3 linked regions of the Arabidopsis thaliana genome follow. The protein of the gene in region 1 interacts with the protein of each later gene in a pairwise test. Each region holds a gene or a part of one and is shown in the gene's direction. Other genes may lie near its edges. The genes, in order: AT1G57540, AT4G18230 and DWF1.

Region 1 (5,606 bases):
ATAAAAGTTATATAGATTACATGAAGGATCGTTGTCATTATCACTACCACAAAACTTTAACATCATTCACCGACAAATGGAAAACATTAAGCTGTTCACTTAATTAACACGCATCTCATATATTATTTCCCTCGTATATATTAAACTTTATAGATGAGATTTAATTTCTTTCAACTACCTATGCAAAATTTATTTTATTTGATGTTTTGTGACAATTATATTAATCTTTGATAATTAGTTTTGGTTAAACTTTTTTTTTTATTATCCATTTTTGTCAACCACGTAATTAAATTAAAAAAATATATCTTAATAGATTATCTAATATGAAAGAACCGAGTTTACGAAATTTCATTTTTAAATTAGTTTTGACTAATGGGTCTCTAAGTTATTACACCCGACTAAATATGTGGAGTCGATAAGTGATAGCAAGTTAGATTTACTTGTTCTAAGCTAAACTAACAAATATAGATAAGTTAAGTAGATTAAAACTTACATAATTGAATATTTACATGTTTGGAAAAAAAACTTGAGTAAAAGAAAAAAAACTTGATAAAAATCACTAAAAATTATGTTTACACTTGAGTTAAAAGCAAACATTTTATCTACATAAGATGATACTAATACAAACTAATGGCCTATATATATTTGTAATCCATGAAATTTAATTTTATTTTTGTAACAGACATTATGATTGTAACATTTTAATTTCTTTGCCCAAAAACAAAACATTTTATTTTTAAGTTATTCGACTTCTTATTTGTGTTCATCCCATTTTTTTGTTTCCAACCGATGAACAACGGAAGGTTGCGTCAAAACGCAAAGGGTTGTGTTGTTTGTGTTGAAGTGGAGCTCCTTCATTTTAGGAACAAGCAGAGGACGTTACACAATCAAACTCAGTTTCTTCCCTTATTTAACGTAACCACTAATTCTATTTTCTTGTTCTTTTACAAAGTTCATAAATGGAAATGAACACGTAAGAAGAAATAAAACAAAGTTCAAAACTAAGAAACAGAAAAACAAAAAAAAACATAAAAAAACATATAAAAAAAACATAAAATTACAGAAGAAAAAAATGGGTAGCTTCCTTGAGGTTCTTTGTGCAATCTTCATACCTCCTGTTGGTGTGTTCCTCAGATATGGCCTTGGGGTAAATTTTTTTCATTCATAAATCATAAAAATATATGACACATTTGACATTAATGGTCAAAGTAAGATCAAATCTCTTGTTTTTTTGTTTCTTTGTATATGTGTTTGCAGTTGGAGTTTTGGGTCTGTTTGCTTCTAACGTTATTCGCTTTTATCCCCGGACTGATATATGCCATCTACGTTCTCACCAAGTAGGAATAACCAATCAAAAACACTGGATCCTTTTTTTATTTTATAACTTTTTCTTTTTCCAACAATGTTTGCTTTTTTAGATTTTTTATGTTGTATTTAAGGAATCAGTTTTGTAATCTAGCAAACTTTTTGCTATGTTAGATGTATGTAAATTCCAGCAGTTTCCAAATTGCTGTTGTTCTAGTTTGCAGAGGTTATGGATACATTTTACGGATCATAAACAGATTTGGAAGATTGATGATATTATTATATGCGTGATATAAATTTTGAATTGTAGTAATACTACATCTAAAGAGTGATCAAATTATTAGTACCATTAGGAACTATAAAGTTCTGATAGAGATATTACATGGAGTCATCGATACACACAGTTTACTTATGCGTATAACGATAAATATAAACCTGTGTACATACATTTATAATTTTATATAGCTTCTGCAATTCCGATTTGAAGATTGCTTGAATCGAATACCGTGTGGTATAGGCTCCCATGAAGACGTTCCCAATAATCCCTGCATATACAAATTCTTTACCTCAAAGTGGTAAGCAAAAAATGTAAACAAAATCTATTGAAATCGTCCCATCTTACCAAAGAGGATCAATTGGTATAGTCAATGCTCTCCCATAATGAAAAAAATTATGAGCTACTTGGTTACAACAACGATTCGAATGAGAAAAATATTATTTTCTAACCTTAAATATCCAAGATATCGGTGTAAATTCCGATAATAGATGCGTCTATTAATCCATTGTTAATGCTGTCAATTAAGGTTTTTTGCAATCCCCTCTAACTCTCTAAGTGTACCTCGGTGAAACCTCGAATCTACTTTACACTAACTTTTAATTAGTTCGTACTAATTAACGAAAAAAAAACCTTTTAATTAATTCAGAAAGACAGAAACCAACTCCTTGAAAAAACAAATTGTTTTTCCGAGCCACGTGTATCACTTGGATCCGACGATTATTGTGTCCGGCCCATTAAGATAGTTAACACTTATTGGGCTTCCAAATATCAGCTAATTAGACACGTGGATCTGATTCTCTTCTCCGTCTTCTTCCGACAAGCTCGACGGCGACACAGCCAAAGAAACTACGCATCACCGGTAACGACAGAGATTGCTTTTGCTTCTGGTATTTATGTACCAATTCTGCTCTCTTTTTTACTGCTTAGATCTTAACCCATATAGAGTTATTATATCTGTTGCTCGTTTTTGAAGTTGCCCTTATACTGCTCGATGAAATGCCTCAGTGAATATCTTAATCACAAAACCGAATAGTTTCGTTTCTCTTATACTTAAATTAATTTGGTGTTGTTATTACAGAGAGAAATGGCGTTAAGGCAGAAGTTAGGATGGTCAGAAGGAGATCTGATGAGATCAGATGCTAAGCCATGTTCAAGACTGATGAAACAAACAGCTGCCATTTTCACTGTTGGTGGAGCTCTTGGTTTCTGGGTTCTTTGCAGACTTCACTATGGTAAACAAAGTTCTCTCCTTTCTAATCAGTGATTTGCGTTTCCATCAAAAGGTTGTTCTCCATATAGCTATTGAATCCAGTGCTCTGCATAATTGATTGTTAGAAAGATTTCTTGTAGCCTTATGAAAACATACCAATGCGTATTACCATTCTGTTTTCTGTTCTGTAGTATCCGTTTCTTATGAGAAAAATGAATCCAAAAGGAGCTTTGATTGAATAGTTTGATGTGGTGAAAGATTGGATCTTTACACGTTTTGGGAAGCAATACACTTGTTCTTTGATTCCTATTGTCATGAAAAATGATTCTTGGGGTTGGTTTGTTGTTTATGTGGTTTTAAGAGTAAAAGGAACGTAGAATAGAATAGTTGAGTCAATTCTAAGATAGAACGGTTATAAAAGCAAATGTTTTCTTTGGGAAATGTGTAGGTCCAAGGATCACAGTGCCAAGGAGTCTGCGGTGGGCTGGGTGTGGTGCTTTGTCCGTAAGCACATCAACTGCAATGCTTGTCCGTCTCTTCAGCCCTGAATGTGAACCACAAAACATTGCTGCATATGATAACATCAAAACCCCTCAAGCTTCACTCCCTTAAACCCCATCATAATCTGGCTTTACCTATGATGTGTATGGACCTCATCTTCTGTACATTTTCTTGCAGTACATGAATTTAGGTAACTATTTATAATACTACCAAATTCTGTCACTTTTTGTTTCCTTTAGAAATTATGGTGTATTTTTTCATATAGCCTTTAGGTTGATAGAGTTAAGAGTATCATCCTATGCTCCTCTCTCATTTTCGTGTGTGTTTGATTATGAGTGTAGTGTAATTGGCCATTGGTCACACTCTTTTGGGAGAGTGTTTAGCTTTCTAAAGCTTTTGCTGTCGAAGGGAAGACCTTTGGATTTATTTGGAGGGTTGGGTCTCACTATCCCCTCAAACTAGTCATAGGTGGAATATCCACACCGAGGTTGTGACTTCATGGAGATGCCTGCTAGTTAAATATGTGTAGGAATATGTTTGATCACCAACAAACCTAATGCTACCATTTCTCGAGCATAATTAATTAATTAATTATAATCGACATCAATGTGTTTTGAATGTGAGTAAAGAGCTAGGATTTCAGTGATATTGTCATATAGACACAGCATATAAGCCTGTGGTATTATAATGTCATGGAGAACATAACTTAATCAAGTGAATTCTGCAAGCTATGGAGGCCAAAGATCTAGCTTTTTGGAACGGAGGTTGTTTCTTTGCATTTCGAATGAAAACAATAGTTGAAGCAGAACATCCTTAGGTCAATAGTTTGAATCCGGTAGGGTCAGATCTTATTTTCTAAAGCTTGTTTCATTCCATTTTCAGTGTTCTTTGACAAGAGTATTACAACAAAATCGTTATCAAAAGAGAACTCAATAAGAGAAATGCATACATGTCAAGTTTTTTTTTTTTGGTAAAAGGTTAAGTTACGTTACATGCCAAGTTTGTTATAGGGAATGAGTGGAAATGTCAGAGGTTACTTTCACTATACTTGACACCTTATGATGTTTGAACCATTGACTAGGCAGACTACAAAACCAAAAGATCCATCCACATGTGGTTTTTGCACAGTTCTTGGCGCAAAGAAACAACCTCCTGTCTACCAACTGAGCGAAGGTCGAACTGTACTATTGCATTTGATACATGTGTAAAATTATAACAATATATGAACACAATGATTTTGCAGTACTTTAGAATATACAGAGTGATTCCTCTTTAAGAAATTGTAAACAAAGTTAGAAATTAGAATGCATATCAACAATATATGCAAACATGCTTCTTGGAAAAATCTGGTAGATATTCGAAAGTGATGGCTACAACTCGAACGGTTTAAATATCCTCCGGTGCCCAAGGCCTACCAGTTGATAACACCACGTTTAAGGCGTCAATCACCTCCCAAATGGTCGATGATTGTTAATATTCTTGGAAAATTAAAGCCATGAAAATCGTGCAACAAAGTGGGAAAGGGTATTTCACTACACTTGAATGAACATTGACAACTTATAGGCACAACCCACAAGCTATTGAATAGAATTATTCATACACATTCTTTTTTCATTGCAAAACTCAATAACTATAGGTTGGGTTGATCAAAGAAAATTAGAAAACTCATTGTTTTAAGTAATTTCAAATATTTTCTTATCGCATCAATATTGAAAAAGCTAAAATTACGGAACATCTACAACTTCGAGCAAAACTTTTCGTGCAACAAAGTGGGAAAAGGTATTTCACCACCCTTGTATGAACGTTGACAACTTATAGGCACAACCCACAAGCATTTGAATATAATTATGCATACATTTTTTGTTCTTTTTAAAACTCTAAAACTAAATGTTTGTTTGACCAAAGAAAATTAGAAAACTCATAGTTTTTAGTCACTTTTAAATCATTTTTCATCGTATCAATATTGAAAAAAGCTAAACATACGGATCGTTTAAGAATTCGAGCAAAACTTTTCGGTATGTTTAATTGTCGACCACCATATAACCGTTTATTATAAAATTTAAAAACCTTAATGTCACAACGAAAGAAAAATAAAAAGATCTCGTGTGGGAGCAAATTCCGACCTACCGGATTCGAACCAGTGACCTAAGGATAATCTGCGTCTACTACAGTCCTCCGCTCTACCAACTGAGCTAAGGTCGGATTGTATTCTATTTCATGCATGTGTACTGATCTAAATATTCTATCAACACAATGATTTGTATTAAGTTAGCATACTCATAGTGAGTCTCTATTACAAATTTGTAAACAAAG
Region 2 (6,387 bases), on another chromosome or scaffold:
TGCCACAACATCTCCCAAACCTCCCACCTACAGAAATTACAGAAGGAAATTTGGAATGGGGATAAAGTTGAAAATTTACCATGCAATGCTTCTATTTCGGAAAATCTAACATGTAAGCAAGAGATATTTTTGAGGGTTTAGCTGAACACACCTTAGCTACAGGTGCCATCTCAGCTGCAATGTGAACGACATACAATCCTGAACTAGAATCAACACAAGATGAAGAAAATAGGTTACTTTTTTCAAAAGCTTTAAAAACTGAAAAAAAAAAAAGCATTTCCAATAGACGATGATAACCTTGTTGGAGATGAGACAAGCTTGAGAAATGCAGAGATGGCATCACGTTCATTCTTATCTTTGACGTCAATATAGGTATCATGAATTCTTCGATCTTTCTTCCATACCATGTCTCTCAGTAAGTCAGCATCGTTGCTTGCTATTTTCTTTTCAAGCAGCCATCCATCAACAGTTAAAAGTAACCGACTCCAATAATCCCAAGGCATATCATCAACCGGTTCATCTCTTGATTTTTTCTTGCTTTCTTCCTTCAAACTTTCAAGTGTTTCCTGGAATTCTTTTATCGATTCTTGATATAACTGAACATATGAGAATATCTCTGCATCAGACTTTTCGAGCCGCTCCTCAAGTAATGTCACCTTATGTTGCATTAGCTCATTGTACTGTTGAATTTTCTCTGAAGATTCTTTATAAACGTTGGCTTCTTTAAGTGATTCCTCAATTTTGTCGACCTTATTTCTTAGATCTTGGTTCTGTTGTAACACTATAACTGCTTGCTCTGCTTGTTTGGTAGCTCTATCTAACAACAGCTGTAGAGTCTCTACCTTCGCCCATAGATCAGTGCATTCGATTTTAAGAGTAGAAAGCTGCGAGACATCTTCCTGAGAAACCGATAACTTAGATTCCAAATCCTTTACAGAAGATTCCAAACCGGAGCACTCCTTTTCCAACACAACCACACGTTCACCGGTATCTTTAACACTGTCAAGTTCTGACTTAAGCATTTCTATATCGTTTCTCAAAGATAGATTCTCCAGCTTCAATGTTTCAAGCTCTTTGCTAAGAGCTAGAACATAACCATCACTTTCTATAGGGGAGATCATTTCATGACGAAGCTTCTCTAACTGTTCTTCCAGAAGCTCTACATGTGCTTTCTCTTGAGCAGCAGTTTTAATCCTTTCATCAGTCTCAGACAATTTCATTTCCAAGACATTGATTTCTCCCTGCAACGCTTCCTTATCACTAAGAATCTTGTTAAGGTCGTCAAGAGCAGTGGCCCGTGCTTCATCAAGCCGAAGAATATCTGACACAATAAGACATCAGGAATTAACAAAGGCTTTCACAAGATCAGGAAACAAACATAACTAATACAGATAAGAAAATTTCTACTTTTTTCTGCACTTCTTATCATTGTCATTAGTTCCCCAAACTGTCCATCTGAAATCTGCTCGCCTTCACTTTTGTTAAGGGACTGAAAAAATGATTTACAATAAGTGATCAAAAGAAGGCCTTTTTCAGAAGAAGAGAGTTACGATATACCATTAACACTAAAAAGAAATCCATACCAAAGCTTTTGCAACCTCAGGCACAGTAATATTATCTAAATTCTTCCCATCATCATGTCCAATATCAATCGTAGCATGAATACTCTCCCCTTTCTTCTTTGCAGTTTTACTCTTGCGCCGAGTAACTTCAGTTGTTTGTATATCATCTTTCTTTTCAAGATTCTCATCAGCATGATTCATATCTATGCTGCCATGAATACTACTACCCTTTTCAGCATCTGACTTAAGACTCGGGACACTGTCCGCAGAACCATTCTCCAGATCAGATTCCTCATCATTGTTGCTCTGAAGACCTGAATTTATAGATAGGATCGGTTTAGGGGAGCCTTTCTTGACCTCTTGTCTTTTACTAGAGCTGCAAATTAGTCAAGATATCAGATTTTTTTTGACTTGGTGTAATGCAAATCAAATGGGAAATGAAAGGAACTTAAGCTACAAAGAGGCTAGCTTTAACAAAAATTGGATTCATATCAAAAATCAAATGCAACATTTTGATCTCATCACTAAGTAAAATCAGAGTTTTAATTCTCATAGTCCTCTCCAAACTCATACAAATGAATCTAAATCAAGATAATTATAAACACGTTCACATCTATGAGCATTCACCATAACTCTAAAGCTGAGAAAAACAAAACTTTATAATGCAAAATTCAAAAATGCCAAGTTACATAAATCAATCGAATTGGTACATAAATTCTCAAACCCCAACACAGAAATCGACAAAAAAAAAAAACTCACTCGAAACCACGTTGTTGTCGCATCTTACACGAAGTAGAAACTAATCGACGAGAAGGGAGATAGAAAAATCGACGAGAACTTCCATGTTCTCTCTCGCAGGAGATTCCTGCTAATCCATGGGTTAAGAAACAGAAGCTCGATAGCTTCGTCGTCATGTTTAATTAGATACCTAAACGAAGAAAGCTACAAAAGTTGCTTCAATGGAGGTTTTGTGAAAAAATCTCATTTTTTTTTTTCTAAGTACCGACTGGTGTACAATATCTTCTTCATCAGTTCTTAGTATCTTTTTAAGATTTTAAAATAAAAAATTGGGAAGGAATTACATGTTTGCAGGTCCACCCAAAGATAAAAGTCACGTGGTTACGCCACGTGTATTCTAAGCAATATCCAAATCGAACGGTGGTAAAAAGAAGACACACCGTAACCAATAAAATTCAATTCTCTAATCCTTTACGTTCCCGTCACCGCCGGGATTCTCCGTCGCCGGTGAGTTTTTTATTTTGTTTCTTCCCACCTTATAATCGCCGTGTTGAATCTTCAATTTCGTTTTTTTGTCTAATTTCGAGCTCGATTTTGACGATTCGTTTTGTTTGTGATCTGATTTTGAGTTGTTTCTCCATTACGCTTGGATTTTGACGTTTTAGATCTCAAAAGGAAGTACGATCATGGAGGAAGGTTGCAACTGTGTTTACTCAAGGATGGCCTCAAAATTCAGCATTGGTTTATTGATTATTTTGGCGATCGTTCTTCTAATGGTTCGTGTACTGTATGTTATATACCGATGTGGCAAACCACTTCCAAAAGGAGCTTCACAGTCTTTTACTACTCTTATTGTTCTTGGTTCTGGTAAGAAGAGTTAATGCAGTGTCTTCTTCAATTGGATCTAAGTAATGTGCTGCATATTATGATATGTTATTGTGGGGTTTTTGTTAATCACCAGGGGGACACACAGCAGAGATGTTGAGTCTCCTCTCTGTTTTGCGGAAGGATAGATTTACACCAAGGTTTTACATTGCTGCTGCTACAGATAACATGAGTCTCCAGAAAGCTCGTAGTTTTGAAGATTCTCTAGCTGAGAAGGTTTAGTTAAAAATCCTTAAATTCAATTTCGTTTGAGTTTTGTCCCTCCTCTTTGAATTTTGCTATTGCTTATTACTTATTTCTTGTGTGTTTTTTGCTTGGTATGACTGTGGCATAGCCTGCTGTTAAGGAAGCATCATCACAGTTCATGCAAATTTACCGGAGTCGTGAAGTTGGTCAGTCTTATGTGACTTCTGTTTGGACTACCATTGTTGCTATTCTTCACGCTCTGTGGCTAATGATCCGGATCAGACCACAAGTGGTATGATTTTTATCTGAATGCTTTTTAGACTTTCTTCAAGGGTTCTTTATTAAACCATTTGAATCAGGTTATTGATTAGATTTGGTTGAAGTTTTTCAGATTCTTTGCAATGGTCCTGGGACCTGTATTCCTCTGTGTGTGATCGCCTTTTTATTCAAGGTATACACACTTCGGAAATATTTTATCAAGATTCTTTGCAGTTCTTTCCTCTACATTTTGGATGACCTTGAATGGACTTGTGACCAAAAACAGAGGATGTGTTTTGTTTATTCTTAGTCATGGTTTCTCCATTACATCTAGAATTCCCATAAGTGCTTGTTTCATCTTGGGTTACAGGTGCTGGGAATTAGATGGTCATCAATCTTTTATGTTGAGAGTGTAGCAAGAGTGAAAAAGCTCTCATTAAGTGGATTGTTGCTTTACAAGTTGAGAATAGCTGATCAATTCTTTGTTCAATGGCCACAACTGCATAAGAAGTATCCTCGGGCTCACTATGTTGGGTGCCTGATGTAAGCTGATTGGAACTCTACTTACACCTAGATATATTACAAAAACTTAGAAAGCTACATAGTGTACACCTTCTCTTTATATGCAGGATTGAGTTTTAAACAATGAATTTTTGTAATCAGCTGTTTTGACTTTGTTAATGACTTAATGCTATTTCAGTGAGCTTATAATGTGATTTTGGTCATCTTATTCCAAACTAAACCAGAATCGTGCACAACATATATTTAAATAAAATATACTTCATGTTACAATGATGCACACATTTTCAGGCTGTGACTTCACTTGAGTCGCATCACAAATCTATTATGTTTATTTTTCATTGTAGGCTGCCTTCATACCAATAAAGAAAAGTAAGTTTACTTGATCAGCTCGCTTTAGTCTGTAAACTGTGTGTGCCACAATCTTTGAAGTAACAGCTTATTTTGATTGCTCACTTGACCCTTCTGCTTCTGGTCGGTCAGGGGATTCTGTTGTTGGTATTTCATTACTTTTCTTCAAGTTTGTTTCATCAAGATATTGTTGGTAGACATAGGATACGAAACCCCAAATAGCTAGAATCATAGAAATCACCTTTAAGCCGTTCATTTTGTCATGGAAAATGATGACAGCCAGGATAGGAACCACGGGGAGTCCCAAAGCGCTTATTGCATTTGAGAATAGGGAGGAAAGCTCGAAGATCAGTCCTGTGCAACCGATGGAGAATACCTGCCAGGTAACAGCTGTCCACACTAGGTTCATGACATAGGATACCTTCCCAAGTTTGTAGTTTTCCATTTCACTGCTCAAAGTTTTCCACTCGCTACTAGCAAAAAGCCCCACCACGCTAACACAACTGGCCACTAGACTCATGTAGATTATCATATTTATAACTTCTGAGAAAGTTTGCTTCTTTAAAACTTTACGAAAGGCTAGCTGTTGTAGGGATAAGAGTAGACCAAACCCAGCAGATGCACCAACGGTGCATACGAAACCTTTGACATACTCTCCTTTTGTAACTTTTTTGGAATCTGATTCCTCGTTATTAAATGCAAGGAGGGTGGAAGATATAGTGAGGAGGAAAAGAGAATTCAAAATGATAGGAGTAAGTTTTTGTGAGTTGAGTAAATAAGAGAAGAAAGCGGTGAAGGCTAACTGTGATGCACAGATCAGGGAAAGGGTAGAAACAGGTAGGTAAAGCAGTCCAATGGAATATAGGTAGCAAGCTGCTCCTACAAGAAGTCCAAGCACTATGTAAACTAATGCACGGTTCCTAAGTGAGGTTAATTTGCCATCTCTCTGAGTTGTTGTATGTGTTTTGACTGACAAGAGATGATATGGAAGTAGAATAGGAAAGCCTACAAGCTGAACTACCGTTGCTAGCCATTTGCTGTTTCCTCCATTTTCATAGTATAGTCTGCCCAGAATTGTAGCAACTGATTGGCCTGAAATGACAAAGAATGTATAGATAGCAACCCGGAGCCACCGTTTGTATGTATTAGAGTGAGATAGTTTTGTTTGGCTGCCACTGACCGAACTTCTTTCGTCTTGATCTGTTGGAATTGGTTCTTTTCCCTGCTGAACTGGTGAGTGATGGAAAATAACGCAAGAAATTAGATTATGACTTATTTGTTGTCACACATGAAAAATATTGATATATTGAATAATAAGATACCATAACCATATTTTTCGTCTTTTATTTGAAGATAAAAGACCAGTAGGTTCTCGAGGAACTGGTTTATGCTTACTCACCAATGACTTGTACTTCTTGATCCCCCTTCATAGTAGATGTGGAATCCCCCTCCTTCGAGATGGACAAGGAGGTACTAACAATGTTCTGAATAGATTCTAAGTATTAGGTATCTTATTATCAAATTGCTTGGTTACTAGTGCTACCAAGTGATTGCTTCTGTGATATGGGTGAGACACGCTGTAGCTATATATTTAGAGATTAGGAATCGGTCATCGTCTATGTTTTGATTGTACTTGTCCCCACATTCAGTAAATGCCAACTGTATATCTTCTCTTGCTGTGAATTTAATTTCTTTTGTCACTATTGTTGATCTAGAGATGAGTCGAGTCAAATCAAGAAGGAAATGATGTGTAGCCATTAGTCACTCAGTATTTTATACCTGTGTGACACATCAGCCATATGCATAGACACAAACTTAACACGCATGCACACAAGTTGTAAGATTGTATGACCGTCAGGATGTCTATTTTGAAAGTTATTCGTCTTCT
Region 3 (7,008 bases), on another chromosome or scaffold:
TTTCTTCCCAATCAACTCCTACTTATTAGCCCATCGCCTATCTAACTCACAATATTTTGCTTGAAAATTCATTGCAATATTTGGTTAGAAATAGTGTTTCACAACCTGTAACGAAGGCAAAGAACGCTGTTTATAGGCTATGATTGCTTCTTTTTTGGTGTATGCGTTTAGCAATTTACAGTATTGTGTAACAGTTTTGTATGCATGCATCGTTTTCCCCATTAGGATCAGTTTAGCAATTTTGTTCGATGTTACTAAGACTGAACTATGGTTAATTTCAGGGAACCAAGACAAAGGCGCAAGAAAGTCTCCTTTCTGGTCGTTTTCTTAATCTATTGTTGAGAAGTGATTTCTTTTCAATATTGATTGTTGAAGTAACCCATTTGAGTTAAGTTTTTGAGTAGGGTAACAATGTATCGTCTAATGAAAAGCCACTGAAAACGAAACGATCTGTCTTTGGAATGATTGATTGGTATTGCTAAAATCATGGATTATATATAATGCTAAACAAGAATGCTACCAACAATTGAACGTGTCCCCGATGTATTAGACTATTAGTTAATTGCACGTTAAGAGTAGATCTACACTTATTATAAGAAGTTAAGTACATGCAATCAAACAGAAGGCACAACAATTTAAAATAAAAACTGGATCGTGGGTGCATTAAACAAAGTGATTTTGTTTTCCATTCTCTTTTAGCAAGAATAGTAATAAAATGGAAGTGGCAGAAAACAAAAATTTGAATAATAAAAAGGGATTAATAAGAAGTGAGAAAAAATGGAGAATTAGTAATAAAATTACAAAAAATGAGGAAGAGAAATCACGTGAAGGAGTTGAGATCACGTCAGGCACATGTGGGGAGTAGGACAGTCCTCGTTTATAGATTTGTTATCTTCAACTCTCCTCTCTTCGGTTTCTCCGTTCTCTTTTGTCTTTTTCTTTCACCTTTTTTTTTTTTTTTAATTTTTTTACTTCAAGAGAAGTGTTTAGTCATAATACGCTTCAATCTTAACAAATCATAATTTATGTGGGTTGTTGTCTCTGGCTTCTTCACACTTTTTTAGGTACTAATGGAATGGACAAAGACGGTTTTTGTTGATGCAGAAATGACGCATGGGTTTATTTGGCGTTGGACCAAAGAGTAATGTCTTTGTATTTGGATATATATATAAACAAATTGGTGTTTCTTGTAATGTAAACATTGGTGTGATTACACGACCTTGTAACGGTTTAAAACTTTGTCAAGCGTCAACCAAATTTTCACTGACGTCAAACTGTCAATGTCAAAAGGTGTGATTCGCCAAATAGACATTTATTTTTCCATACTACAAAAAAATGATTTGTAGCTGTAAATGTGAGTAAGAAATTAGTTGGCATATTTTAAAGAGTAAATATATTTTATGAGAGATTTTGCAAGAGCTGGATATTTTCTCAGACAGGCCATCATCCCTGTAATTTTTTTTTTCTTTCTATGTCAAATAAATAAATAATTACTTTTTGGCGACAAAAAAAACTTTTTGAGCACTTCATTACTTTAAAGTGTAACCATTTTTCTAAATAAATCATGATTTTATTTGCTTTTCTAAATCAACTATTAAAATACTTAGGTGGAAATCAAATAATTGGTTACAGTAACAGAATTATATATTGAGAGCCTTTTTCACCAAATAACGTGATAGTTTGTGTGTTTATTACTGTATTATGTAGGCACTGATAATGATACAAATGATTTCATATATGAATTTTGATGAAAAGCATGGCTATTGGGATTTGGGAAAACATTTCTCATCACAGCCGTAGTTTTTTTTTTTATATAAATAAGAGGCATTTTATATAAAATTTTTTACTACACATTAGTTTCTAAAATACTACATTGTAATCTGAATAAGATGAAAGTGAATGACTAATTCACAATTGTTTTGGCTTAAAAAAAACACTCATTTGAAGATCCCTTAAGAGTTGAGAGAAAGATATAAGGAACTCTCATTAGCATTCATAATGTATAATGTTTTCAAGATATTTTAGGCAGTGCTTTTTTTGCTTCAATCATAACATATCAAAACTAAATGTTAAAGATTGTTGTAATAACTATTATGATAAGAAAAGTTGTAATGAACTTTTTGCCAATAAACAATATATAAGATCGTCGGCTTAGTAACCTCACGAGGATGGAATGTGCTTTAGGTACATCAACAAACATGTAGGAGGACTGTTTCGCTAAAAGCATTTAGAAAACAAAAATCAATACAATCAACCCATAAAATGCATTTAAAAAAAAAACGAATTGGACAATTACATTTCCTTCATTGGGCACATGTCTTCCTGTAATTTATTGTGATTTACATACCAAAAGAAAGATATATTTTTCTATTTAAAAGAAATTTAAACTGCTAAGATTTGTTGCCTTTTTTTATTTATTTGCTTTTACCTATTTATAGCAGTAAACTCTTTTCAGAAAAAATATCCCTACAAAGAATTTGTCCTCATATTCCTTTTATATGCTAACTGCTAAGTAAGAAATTATATTTTGGAAGATATGTCTAATTAAGCTCTAGGTTCGATTTACATATAATTTCTAAATGTTAAAAGAGTTGGTAAAAATATATTAAATACTGATATAAGTAAAAACAATTTATTTTTATTTTCTTACATCAGAATTATAAACTAAAAAATTGCTCATAAATATAACACATGTGATTTATCAACATTACAACTAACATCGAATTTTTAATTGCGATAACAACAAAGAAACTTAGAAATATGAAAAACCACTTATACAAACCCATGAAAAATATACATTATATATTTCTTAATTTCTATATTTTTGCGTTATTATTACCTTTTTTATTTTAAAATTATATAAAAAAATGGGAAATAAAAAATACCTTGTTTTGAGCGAAAAATGCAAGTGAAGCAGGCTGGCTTGAATCACGTTTTATTATAAAGACAAATGCTCTCACACTCTTGGGGACACTTTCACATCTCATCCTCTCACTCTCTCTCTCCTTTGGATTCTTCAGGTACTCTCTCTACCTCTCTTTCTCTCTCTGTCTCAGTCGCTGACTTATCATTTCCTGTCGTTAGATCTCTCAGTACTTGGTTCATAGTTGTTTCATAGCACGCACTAGTGAACTATGTGGGTTTTTTAATTTTAATCATCTCAGTCTTGGAGAATTTCAAACAAAGTTTCAAACTTTGCTCACCAACTTTTATTTATTTATTTTGGTGGTAGAAAACAGACTTTGATGGCTTTGTAGGAATACTAGATGTGTAGATCTAAAGATTATAACCATTTTCTGTGTTCTTGTTCTTTCAGAACATAACTTCATGTCTTTTTGTCTCTCTGTTCACTAGCTCTCTGTTTCCATGGACTCCACACTATCTTCTTCTTACAGATTTATTTCATACACATACACTGATACACATGTGTGTATACGTATGTGTTTATGTGTGCTTATTATACTCTTTTTGGATTCAAGAAACTAATCTTTAGTATTTTTGACATTCTGGTAGATTTATGCTCACTTCTTAGGCCTTGTTGACTTTTACAGTGATGGATTTTGAAACTCTGGTTGATTTGATTTTCTTTTTGGTTTGATGCAGTGAGGAGAGGAAATGTCGGATCTTCAGACACCGCTTGTGAGGCCCAAGAGGAAGAAGACTTGGGTTGATTACTTTGTCAAGTTCAGATGGATCATTGTCATCTTCATCGTCCTTCCATTCTCAGCCACATTCTACTTCCTCATCTACCTCGGGGACATGTGGTCAGAGTCCAAGTCCTTTGAGAAACGTCAGAAGGAACACGACGAGAATGTCAAGAAAGTCATCAAAAGGCTTAAGGGTAGGGATGCTTCCAAGGACGGGCTTGTCTGCACTGCTCGTAAGCCCTGGATCGCTGTTGGAATGAGGAACGTTGACTACAAGAGAGCCCGGCATTTCGAGGTTGACTTGGGGGAGTTCCGTAACATCCTTGAGATCAACAAGGAGAAGATGACTGCTAGAGTGGAGCCTCTTGTTAACATGGGACAGATTTCCCGTGCTACCGTCCCAATGAACCTGTCTCTCGCTGTTGTTGCTGAGCTTGATGACCTTACCGTTGGTGGACTTATCAATGGATATGGTATTGAAGGAAGCTCTCACATCTACGGTTTGTTTGCTGATACCGTTGAGGCTTACGAGATTGTTCTTGCGGGTGGAGAGCTTGTCCGCGCCACAAGGGATAATGAGTATTCTGATCTTTACTACGCAATCCCGTGGTCGCAAGGAACTCTTGGACTCCTTGTAGCTGCTGAGATCAGGCTTATTAAAGTCAAGGAGTACATGAGACTCACTTACATACCAGTCAAGGGTGATCTTCAAGCCTTAGCTCAAGGTTACATTGATTCTTTTGCTCCCAAAGACGGTGACAAGTCGAAAATCCCGGATTTCGTCGAAGGCATGGTTTACAATCCAACGGAAGGAGTGATGATGGTTGGAACATATGCATCTAAAGAAGAGGCAAAGAAGAAAGGGAACAAAATCAACAATGTGGGATGGTGGTTCAAGCCGTGGTTCTACCAGCACGCGCAGACCGCCCTGAAAAAGGGACAGTTTGTTGAGTACATCCCAACTCGTGAATACTACCACAGGCACACAAGGTGCTTGTACTGGGAAGGGAAGCTTATTCTTCCATTTGGTGATCAGTTCTGGTTTAGGTACCTCTTAGGTTGGTTGATGCCTCCAAAGGTCTCTCTTCTTAAGGCCACTCAAGGTGAAGCTATCAGGAACTATTACCATGATATGCATGTTATTCAGGATATGCTTGTTCCTCTTTACAAGGTTGGCGATGCACTCGAATGGGTCCACCGCGAAATGGAGGTAAAACTAAAAGCTCGGTTTCATGATTGATCATCTTCTAGTTAAAGTTTCTTTTGATGTTATTAACAAAATCATGAATTGTTTGTTCTCTTTCAGGTGTATCCAATTTGGCTTTGCCCACACAAACTCTTCAAGCAGCCAATCAAAGGCCAAATCTACCCAGAGCCAGGCTTCGAGTACGAAAACAGACAAGGAGACACAGAAGATGCACAGATGTACACTGATGTTGGAGTCTACTACGCACCTGGCTGTGTCCTAAGAGGTGAAGAGTTTGATGGATCAGAAGCAGTGCGTAGGATGGAGAAATGGCTGATAGAGAACCATGGATTCCAGCCTCAGTACGCGGTGTCTGAGCTCGACGAGAAGAGCTTCTGGAGAATGTTTAATGGTGAATTGTATGAGGAGTGCCGCAAGAAGTATAGAGCTATTGGAACGTTCATGAGTGTTTACTACAAGTCCAAGAAAGGAAGGAAGACTGAGAAAGAAGTTAGAGAAGCCGAACAAGCTCATCTCGAAACTGCTTATGCCGAGGCAGATTAAGTAATAATAAGCCTTGGTTTGATGTAATGGCTCGGGATGATTATTGTTATTCCTAGTAGTGTCTGTTATGTTGTTGTTTCCTAATTTCAGTTTTAGTGTCTTGAAGACTCTTGTTGTTGTTGTTTGCTTCTTGTTGTTGTTTGACTCATTCTGGTTTGAGTGGATTTTAGAGTTTAAAACTTTTGGATTTGCCTATGAAATTGAAGGTTTCCGGTTTTATCGTGTTGCTTGACTGTCACAATGTAAGCATGTTGCTGTAATGAATTAATTGATCTACCAATTTGAGAGATCATTTCAACTTCTCTCTTTATACCACCACCAACTAGGCTTTAGATCATTCACGACGTGAATCTAAAACACTAAAACCCGACTTTGTTAGTTTTATTGGGGTGCGGTTAGGTTTGATATAAACCTGGAAATACCGGTATTTGAACCGAAGTTGACCGGGTGAGACTTTTTAGGATAAACCCAAGCAGCCATTTCCGAGTAAGAAGAGCTCTGTTTCTGAAAGAAGTTTTACAGAGTCGATCGTCTAAAGCGTTGTTGAAGCACTTGTTAGTGGTAAGTAATTTCGATTTATTAATTCTTGTTGTATCTTTTGTATTCGAAGTTACTTGCTTGTTTTTCGATTTCGTCTCCGTCATGATGTTTGCGGCTCTGTTAATTGGAAGTGGAAAGGTCTGTCCTTTATCTACATAAAATGGTGCATAGAAGGTGTTCGACCAAATTCCTAGCTCAAATTCCTTTAGTTACATTAGCTCTGACTGGAATGTAACTGTGAAGTCTCGATACCCAATTCATTCTTTTCAAAAACAATTGAAGATTATTATTTCCCTTCTCAAGATTTTCTGTCTTTTCTCTATTGTTGACACTATATCAGCAAATGTTTCTTGCAGGTGCTCTGTTTCAAGCTGGATAAACCCAATCCTATTGGGATTTGGCTGGATTTTATACCATATTTTAGCATGATTGTTTGATAAACGCTTGATAAATTGCCTCTTGTTGTCACCTTTGCTACGAAAATGTCTCTGGTTTGCTCTTTATCTTGTGTAGCTCCCTTGCCACAGACTAAACAGTCGCGTCCAAGTTTTCTGAAACTCGAAACATGTACCTTAAGTTTATCTTCTCCCGCTGGCTATCCTAATTTTACCACCGGTATTAGGAAGCATATCAGTTACTTGTTCACTGAACCGATCAAGCTTCCTAGGCTAGCAAAGAGTCGGATATTAGTTAGTCAGGAGTCTTTTACAGAGACCAGCACAATAGATATGGATTGGGAAGATCAGGAGGAAATTGAGGATACTGGGTCACCTTGGGAAGGTTCGGTTATGTATAGGAGAAATGCTTCAGTTACACATGTTGAATATTGCACTACCTTAGAGAGGCTTGGGTTGGGAAGGTTGTCAACAGATGTCTCGAAGAAGAGAGCTTCTGCAATGGGACTTAGAGTGACAAAAGATGTCAAGGATTATCCAGATGGCACACCAGTTCAAGTTTCGGTTGATGTCATAAGGAAGAAGAAGAAGCTGAGACTTGATGGAATTGTCAGGACTGTTATCACACTCGGCTGCAACAGGTGCTTTCTTATGAACTCATCGAAGCTTTTTTACT

Evidence for each region.
Region 2: the proteins of AT1G57540 (region 1) and AT4G18230 interact in a protein complementation assay, tested with the Arabidopsis thaliana proteins (one large-scale study listed by BioGRID).
Region 3: the proteins of AT1G57540 (region 1) and DWF1 interact in a protein complementation assay, tested with the Arabidopsis thaliana proteins (one large-scale study listed by BioGRID).

Annotation. Positions count from the first base shown.
Region 1 is NC_003070.9:21,308,276-21,313,881, reverse strand, and holds AT1G57540 (40S ribosomal protein), read left to right. Parts: upstream 1-2,360; 5' UTR 2,361-2,469; exon of another isoform or gene 2,470-2,660; 5' UTR 2,661-2,666; coding exon 2,667-2,814; intron 2,815-3,240; coding exon 3,241-3,404; 3' UTR 3,405-3,987; downstream 3,988-5,606. Other genes in the region: AT1G57550 (Low temperature and salt responsive protein family), read left to right, coding at 1,073-1,147, 1,258-1,341.
Region 2 is NC_003075.7:10,078,310-10,084,696, reverse strand, and holds AT4G18230 (UDP-N-acetylglucosamine transferase subunit ALG14-like protein), read left to right. Parts: upstream 1-2,639; 5' UTR 2,640-2,807; exon of another isoform or gene 2,808-2,965; 5' UTR 2,966-2,986; coding exon 2,987-3,167; intron 3,168-3,261; coding exon 3,262-3,401; intron 3,402-3,519; coding exon 3,520-3,663; intron 3,664-3,762; coding exon 3,763-3,822; coding exon of another isoform or gene 3,823-3,939; exon of another isoform or gene 3,940-3,999; coding exon 4,000-4,176; 3' UTR 4,177-4,587; downstream 4,588-6,387. Other genes in the region: SS4 (starch synthase 4), read right to left, coding at 1-27, 152-203, 298-1,321, 1,408-1,489, 1,584-1,938, 2,322-2,476; AT4G18220 (Drug/metabolite transporter superfamily protein), read right to left, coding at 4,588-5,729, 5,899-5,929.
Region 3 is NC_003074.8:6,878,224-6,885,231, reverse strand, and holds DWF1 (cell elongation protein / DWARF1 / DIMINUTO (DIM)), read left to right. Parts: upstream 1-2,916; 5' UTR 2,917-3,020; exon of another isoform or gene 3,021-3,603; 5' UTR 3,604-3,615; coding exon 3,616-4,857; intron 4,858-4,953; coding exon 4,954-5,397; 3' UTR 5,398-5,708; downstream 5,709-7,008. Other genes in the region: AT3G19810 (BTB/POZ domain protein, putative (DUF177)), read left to right, coding at 6,420-6,973. UniProt on the Arabidopsis thaliana protein: Plays a critical role in the general process of plant cell elongation. Involved in the synthesis of campesterol, an early precursor of brassinolide.